2 linked regions of the Saccharomyces cerevisiae S288C genome follow. Changing the gene in region 2 together with the main gene of any one other region gives a genetic interaction. Each region holds a gene or a part of one and is shown on either strand. Other genes may lie near its edges.

Region 1 (3,396 bases), 1.1 Mb from region 2:
CTGACCTTGGACTAGGCGGAATGTTAGCCTTAATTTCTGGAAAGCTGTCATCGAATTGTGAAGCTTCACTAAATAGCCTTGTGGAGTCAATTGTATCATCAATGCTTCTTCTCTGCCTTTTCTTAACAGGGCCTTCGTTCTCATCACCATTATTGGCATTTGGAACCTTAGTAGGCGATACAACTTGTGTTTGCGTGGTGTTTCGCTTGGATTTGATAAATCCTACAGGCGTAAATTCCATGTTCTTCAAGCTCCCATTTGGGAGATGTGACGCTTCGTCCATGAGTGTTTATCAGCCCTTTTTCGCTTTGTGTGGACTGTAACTAACGAAGTTGCTTAAGATATCCGCGCACATTGTATTTGTTCCACATCAACTTTTTGTTTATTTGTTTTCCTTCAAAATGAAGGATTAAAACTTATAACGCGTAATTAGGGTAATGTTCAGCTTAGTACAAATAAAACGTCTCTATCTAGTTTAAGTATAACATATGAAATAATGTCTACAAGGAGCTCACACTATCTATAAAGTGTTCTAAAGAACGTAATGCATTACCAGAATGTATGCTTTCTTCTGCCTTAATGATCCCTTCCTTCCAGTTCTGGTGACCTTGGCTTAAACAATATAACACGGCGGTGTTCATCAAGATGTAGTCATAAATAGGATTATTGTCGCCAAGGTGGTACTTGCCGGACAAGACTTCTTCTTTTAGAATTCTCGCATTCTCTTTAGGGCCGTATGAAGCACACTTCGACAACTCGTGTTCTTCTAAACCAAACATAGAAGGTTCTAATTGGAAGGTCTTCAATTTAAGTTCGGACGATGTCGGATCAATATGCCAGACAGTAGTTTTGCCTATAGGTGATACTTCGTCTAACCCAACATGTCCCCAAACTATAAAAGTTTCGCTTCCTGGATATACCAAAGCGGCTGCCTTGGCATATTCAGGCGCAAGTTCCTTTGAGTAAACGCCCAATATTCTCTTGTTTACGTGGCTAACTGGATGTAGAAGTGGTCCCAGTACGTTGAAAACAGTCGGAATTCCAAGAAATTTGCGTATCTTAGAAACGTGGCCCATTCCATGATGAAAAAAAGGAGCAAGTAGAAACATGAACGTATTATCAGGCCAAAGTTTGGGCACTGTCGATGAATTAACCTTGAACATGTCACAGCCTAAAGTTCCAATTAGGTCACCAGCTCCACTATTGGATGTAGAAGCTTTACCACCGTGCTTACAAATTTTTAGGCCCTGAATTCCGGAGGCAACGATAGCAGCAGACGTGGAAACATTAAAAGTATTCTGTCCGTCACCACCAGTACCTACAATATCTAAGATTACTGGTCCATCTTCCGGGTGTAATTCGTCCTTCTTGGGTAAAGGTAGATCAACAAGGTCGGAATGTCTGAGCACAGCCTTTGCAGCTTCCGCAATGTATTCAGCCTTGTGATCAAGTTTAGTAACTCTCAAGGCCGTGAGAAAACTCGAAACTTTGGTATAGATGGAAAGACTCTCATCGCTATTTGTATCACATTTTTGCAAAAGACTTAATATAACCAGCAACGCATCGTGTAGGTCTGTGCTACTCAATTGCGGCGGAGAAGCCAATAATTTCTTGGTGTAAGATAGCAAAGTCGCCTCGGACATGATAAGGGAATACTAAGTTTTCTTGTGATTATTGCAGTTTAAATTCACTTAGTTGTCAGTAGCTGTAATATCAGATGCTTTATTATAAAGTTTTCCAGAAGAATGAATGCAACAGAGTTTATGTTTACTGAATTGTCTGGTCATGAATCATTTTTTAGAGAGTCAATCTGCGTAGGTTTTTTTTTCCTTTTGGCAAAGACGACAAGAAAAATGCAGGTGGGGAAGCGCAGCAATAATATTAGTCATAACTTAATAGTCGGTGTATAGGCAACCACGCGTTACAAAGTAAGCCGATGGCCTATGTCATGTGTCTAAAAAGTTTAATTCAGACACGCAATATATGTAGATTATGTATTGGCTTTCTCTAATAATGGGGAAAAGAAATAAAATTCATGGTTTGCTTTTTATTAAAGAAAAGGAGAAAGTAACGATTTGTTGGATAAGTATACAAAAATTTGAGTGTATCTATTTTATAATGGAAAATTCATCTATTCTAGGGAAGTTAAGTATTTCTCAGCATCCAAAGCGGCCATACAACCAGAGCCAGCAGAAGTAATAGCTTGTCTGTATTTAGAATCCTGAACATCACCAGCAGCGAAAAATCCTGGAACGGAGGTTAATGAGCTGCCTGGGACAGTTTTAATGTAGCCCGCTTCATCAGTGTCGACTTGGCCAGCGACAATCTTTGTTGCTGGAGTGTGGCCAATTGCATAAAATAAACCGCTGACTGGCAAATCGGTTTCTTCATTCTTTTTAGTGTTCTTAATCCTCAAGGCATTCAATAATTTACCATCCCCCTTAGCTTCTAGCGCAACAGTGTTGTAAAGGATTTCAATTTTTTCGTTCTTCTCAGCACGCTTTTGCATAATGGTAGAAGCACGCAAATGGTCTTTTCTGACAAGCATAAACACTTTTGAGCCGTACTTGGTCAAGAACTGAGCTTCTTCACATGCAGAGTCACCACCACCAATGACGGCCAATGGCTTGTTTCTGAAAATGGGGACGGCACCATCACACACGGCACAGGCAGAAATACCTTTTTGCCAGTAGGTTTCCTCGCCCGGCAAATGCATTCTCTTAGCAGAAGCGCCTGTGGCCAAGATTATAGCGTCAGTCGTCACAGGTTCTGCGTCTTCGTTAAATTCGGTCCATAGCTTGAATGGTTTGGAAGACAGATCAACTTTGGAAACTGTTTCCGTGATAATTTCAGTGCCAAACTTCGTGGATTGTTCTCTCATTCTGTCCATCAGTTCGCTACCTGTTAGACCATCTGGGAAACCTGGGAAGTTTTCGATTTCTGTAGTGGTGGTTAGCTGGCCACCGGCAGCAATACCGTTCGCCATCATACCTTCATATAGGATTGGCTTGATTTCTGCCCTGGCCAAATAGATGGCGGCGGTGTGTGCAGCTGGACCTGAACCAATGATAGTAACTTTGTTGTGAACCATTATTGATAATATGATGTTTACTTTCGTACTGTTCGCTATTTGCTGTATAGCACTTGTAGGCAAGTATAACTGAACTACAGAAATTAATCTACAAGCTCTTGAAACCTCGAGCAGTTGGGTCCACTCTTATACGCGTGGGCATTTTTTCCTTTTTCGAGATACTTGCGGGCGATTTTTTTTCTCCATGACTAAGGAGAAGCTAACCCAGCCAAAACCCGCCCCCAAATGGCTAGGCAAAGTGAAAGATTATTAATCCAGAACAGAATGAAACACTTACTGCCGTACTGTATACTGAAGCGTTCACA
Region 2 (4,683 bases):
TCCGAGACTTTTCCAAATTTGGTCCATTACCCGGGGGTTAATATATCTTGAATAAACCATTGTATTATATCTCACTATATAGTAATTGTACAGTTTTGTCACTACTATAATCTATGCCACACCTTGCGGTTGCTGCTACCATGTCACATTCCCATTCTGCTAGATTCATGCAATTCTCTTAATATTTCAGTGGGTGACGTTAGGTAATTACCTTCTTTAAAACTTCATCTTCTTTTTTGTCATGTCTTTGTTAATATCATTCACATCACTTGTTGGAAGCTCTTCATTGCTTGTATTGGAGTTGCCGTTTGGCCCCAACGTCGTGGTGCGAGGAGAGATACCGCTGTTGCGTCGCCTCTTTGCGTGCAAGGGCTCGCTTCCACTGTCCTTCTTGTCGGCGTCAATGTACGCACTTAGGGCGGTCACGGGACTATCAATGTTCTTTTCAATTTGAAACTTTCGAAGGTTTTTCAAAGTAGACATAACGGTACTTATTTGCATGACTCTCATCAACCCTTCTTGAGTGCCAAACACAGAGACGTTTCTGAATACGTCAAAATATGATCTCAGCTGAGTGATGGCCTCAAAATTCGGAGGAACATTCGTAGCATTATTTTCTGCAAAAGAATTCCCTTGCTCTTTGACATCTTCTTGTTTCAATTTACGGAATATTTGTTCAATTTCTGTAGACTTTGTGTCATCACTCAAAAGCCGTTCCACTGCATTCCATTCAATATCAGGGACAAAACTATGCATAGATACGTCCAGCCAATTAATTTTCAAGTCCAAATCGAAAGCACCTTTCATTTGGGAAAAATGTGTAATATATGAACCATCAGGATAATAATAGACAAATGTGACACGAGGACAGTTGAAAAAAATCGTAGAATTACTTAGAACTTGTGTTTTCAATTGTAAAACCTTAACTTCCATTCTAACGATGCCAAATCTGCCTAATGTAGAGCAAATAACTGGGAACACTGGGATGATAAATTCGAATTCTCTATAATCTGTCATAGACTTTTTACTATACCTTATAACTGCATCAGGTGTAAAAATATCTGATATTAATTCTGTCCAGAATGAAAGCAGGCCAATCTTACCCATTGCCGTATTCACCTCATTTATTATTTCGTACAATTTCAACATCGCCAAATTAGATAAGTATTTTCTTACATGATACGGCACCCGTAACATAGATAAAGATGCCTGGGATGCAGACCGTGGTAACGGAGCAGCTGCCGTTGCTGCTGTAGCCATGGGATGGGGAAAGGATGCTACCGGCGTAAACATTGGCATAGACCCGCTGCCAGGGCCCCCAGTTGCATTCGTATTCTGCGCAGAGTTGTGAAAAGTTTGAGTCACTTGTGGAAGCTGGTTAAACACCTGCTGTTCTGATGAAGGCTGTGGAAATTGACCCCCCTGTGGTTGACCTGGAAATGGCACTTGTTGTGGATAAACCGTGGGCGGTATATTCTGCTGCGCGGTGGGAGGAAAGTTAATATTACCATTTGGGTACGGTGGTGTGTTATTATTCACAATGTAAGGCATCGGCACAGCTTGAGGAGGCGGTTGCGGTGGGCCTTGGTACATATTGCAGATAATCTTTGCTTTTCCTTCTGCCCCATGAACAGTGTCAAGTGTTGTCTTTATTGCTCCATAGTTAATATTTTTAGTTCAGGCGGGAAGCCCCACAAGATGAGAAAAGAAATCCGAGAGGCTTAAACAATACTATATGGGGCAAAGTTCTGCTCTATATAAAGAGAGGCGCATTTGCAAGAAATAGTTAAGAACTTTCCATAAATTGGTCAGATATAAATCAATTTATCGTGCTCAAATATACTATTCAGTTTCTCAGATATAGGTTGCACAAATTGGCAAAGTTCTACAAGAGTCATTCATACATCCCCTGATGAGTAAGATACTATTCTGCAAATCTAAAGTGTTCTTACACCCAACAAGCGATGCTAGAGATAATATTGCTGGTTTCCTGCTACTCACATTGGAAGCGAATAAGCTATCCCACCAAGCAATTCTCCAATATATCCCAGAATCTGGCTTATCCACATTAGAGATATCAAAACTACTAAAACATGAAGCTAAAGTGGGCACATGTCCAACTTCTACACCATTTGTTATTGAAAATTCAATAAACTTTAGTAACCTGGTCAATACTTCTTTAGGTCAAGCTTTCGAAATTTCTCTCTCACAAATATACTGCATCCAATTTAGGCCTCCTAGTCCAAATGGTTGGTATGTCGGATCTCTGGTAATATATCCCTTGACAGAACAGTTTACGGGCTTTCAACCTCCTGTCTTGTTCTTTCATGACCAACTCTGCCCATCAACTACGGACAAGTTAAAAAGACTACGCAAATCCATGAACCCATTTGATGACTCGGACGAATTGTATTGGGGTGGCGTAGATTTGAGAAACAAAATCAACGAACTGATGGAACTCAAGAAATCAAACTTAGAGCCAGAGTTTTGGTTAGTAAATCCCTCTTTGAATGATTTGAGAAATTTCGTTTCCAAGGATCTATTGGAAAGTTATAACAATTCGAAGAAAGATACAACTGAACTCGCTACCGCCGGTGTGAAACTAAACGAGAAATTCCAAGAATGGAAATGGAACGTAATGAGCAAGATAGCAGACGTGACTACCAAGTCTACCAATTTTATCGATAGTTGGCTGACTAACAACTCACCCATACAAAAATCACAAATCGACAATGAATACTTGCAAAAGCTTCTGAACAATGAGAAGGTTAAACAAATTGAACAGGATTATGACTCTGCAAGAGTGTATTTGGCAAACTGGTCATTAGGAGTAAAACAGGAAGCTGAGAGGTATCAAAAGCAGAACAAACTCTTTGATTCGTATAGGAATAACATTTTCAACGACCTGAATCTAACTGATGAATTAAGTGATACTGAAATAAATAATGCTCTGCAAAGACAATTTCCTTTAACGGAAGCGAAATGGAATTCGCTATGGGATGAGAACGATGGGAGGCTGAGGGTCACGGTAAACGAAGTTAAGGATTTCATATTTCATGGTGGGTTAGAAAATGACAGTTTGCGAGGGAAAGTTTGGGGTTTTCTCTTAGAAATATATCCGTGGGATTCTTCTCAAGACGAGAGGGTACAAATCGATCAAACTTTAGCCGCGGAATACGATCAATTGAAACTAACCTGGTCAAAAGATTTTTTACAATTTGACGATGAAGATGAAGAGGAATATTGGAACGATCAATTATTCAGAATATCTAAAGATGTGAGACGCTGTGATAGAAACTTGGAGATATTTCAATACAATACCATCGATGGATTACCACCACCGCCACAACAACTCCCAGCAAATGAAAATAACAGTACCAGCCCCGAATCCGCTAATGACGAGAGCGATGATGCAGACGATGGAGTCAGGAACCCACATTTGATACATTTACAAAACATTCTTATCACTTATAATGTCTACAACACAAACTTAGGCTACGTGCAGGGGATGACCGATCTTTTATCGCCTATTTATGTCATCATGAAGGAAGAATGGAAAACGTTTTGGTGTTTTACGCACTTCATGGACATTATGGAAAGAAATTTTCTAAGAGACCAGAGTGGCATCCATGAACAAATGTTAACTCTCGTGGAATTGGTACAATTAATGCTACCCGAATTGAGCGAACATTTAAACAAGTGTGATTCAGGAAACTTGTTCTTTTGCTTTCGAATGCTTCTAGTATGGTTCAAGAGAGAATTTGAAATGGAAGATATTATGCACATTTGGGAGAATTTCTGGACTTTCTACTACAGTTCACAATTCCAATTATTCTTCATGTTGGCCATTCTACAGAAAAACTCACAAGCTATTTTACAACATCTAAATCAGTTCGACCAAATATTAAAATTTTTTAATGAACTTAACGGGAAGTTGGATTGGAATGACCTAATGGTTAGAGCAGAGCTTTTGTTCAAGAAGTTTGAGAAAATGATGCACGTCATGGAAAGAGATTTACAAAACGTATCCTCCTCTTCATCCTCATCCTCTACCGGCGTATTGCCTTGTCAGAGCGAGAGGTTGACCCTGCTTCTTTCTAAAAAACCTATCATAAGACATGAAGGGCAAAGGAGCAAAAATTCCGTTAAATAGTGGTAAATAGAAACGGAACTTTACATATTGAATACCGGAGATATAATTCGTTTATGCCACATAATCATCAATACATCCGTAACCCGCCCGAAACGGAAAAACTGAAGAAAAATTACATAAAAAGTTTAATATTTTTATCAAATTTAATTGAACCTATATTTAGGAACATTATTGTTTTTAATTTCTAAACCGGTTGGGTTGGTCGATAGTTGTGCTCTGGATCATTGATAACCACTGACGTGTAATAGTTTTATTTCTTTGAAAAATTCAAAAGAAATAACAACACTCGTTCTCGGAAACAAGAAAATACACACAATAATGTCTACTATTCCCTCAGAAATCATCAATTGGACCATCTTAAATGAAATTATATCTATGGATGACGATGATTCCGATTTTTCTAAAGGTCTAATTATTCAATTTATCGACCAGGCACAAACAACTTTTGCTCAAATGCAACGACAGCTGGACGGTGAAAAAAATCTTACCGAATTAGACAATCTGGGCCATTTTTTAAAGGGTTCTTCTGC

What was found. A genetic interaction does not mean that the proteins touch.
Region 1: mutations in GYP7 (region 2) and TRP4 together harm fitness more than expected from each alone (negative genetic interaction), as found in Saccharomyces cerevisiae (one large-scale study listed by BioGRID).

The regions. Positions count from the first base shown.
Region 1 is NC_001136.10:1,182,994-1,186,389, reverse strand, and holds TRP4 (anthranilate phosphoribosyltransferase), read right to left. Parts: upstream 1,644-3,396; coding exon 501-1,643; downstream 1-500. Other genes in the region: SPC110 (Spc110p), read right to left, coding at 1-283; thioredoxin-disulfide reductase TRR1, read right to left, coding at 2,132-3,091. UniProt on the Saccharomyces cerevisiae protein: Catalyzes the transfer of the phosphoribosyl group of 5-phosphorylribose-1-pyrophosphate (PRPP) to anthranilate to yield N-(5'-phosphoribosyl)-anthranilate (PRA), the second step in tryptophan biosynthesis.
Region 2 is NC_001136.10:33,707-38,389, reverse strand, and holds GYP7 (GTPase-activating protein GYP7), read left to right. Parts: upstream 1-1,912; coding exon 1,913-4,153; downstream 4,154-4,683. Other genes in the region: MFG1 (Mfg1p), read right to left, coding at 217-1,593; YPD1 (Ypd1p), read left to right, coding at 4,472-4,683. UniProt on the Saccharomyces cerevisiae protein: GTPase-activating protein (GAP) that most effectively accelerates the intrinsic GTPase activity of Ypt/Rab-type GTPase YPT7 involved in vacuole docking and fusion. It is also active, but to a lesser extent, on YPT31, YPT32, YPT1, YPT6 and SEC4.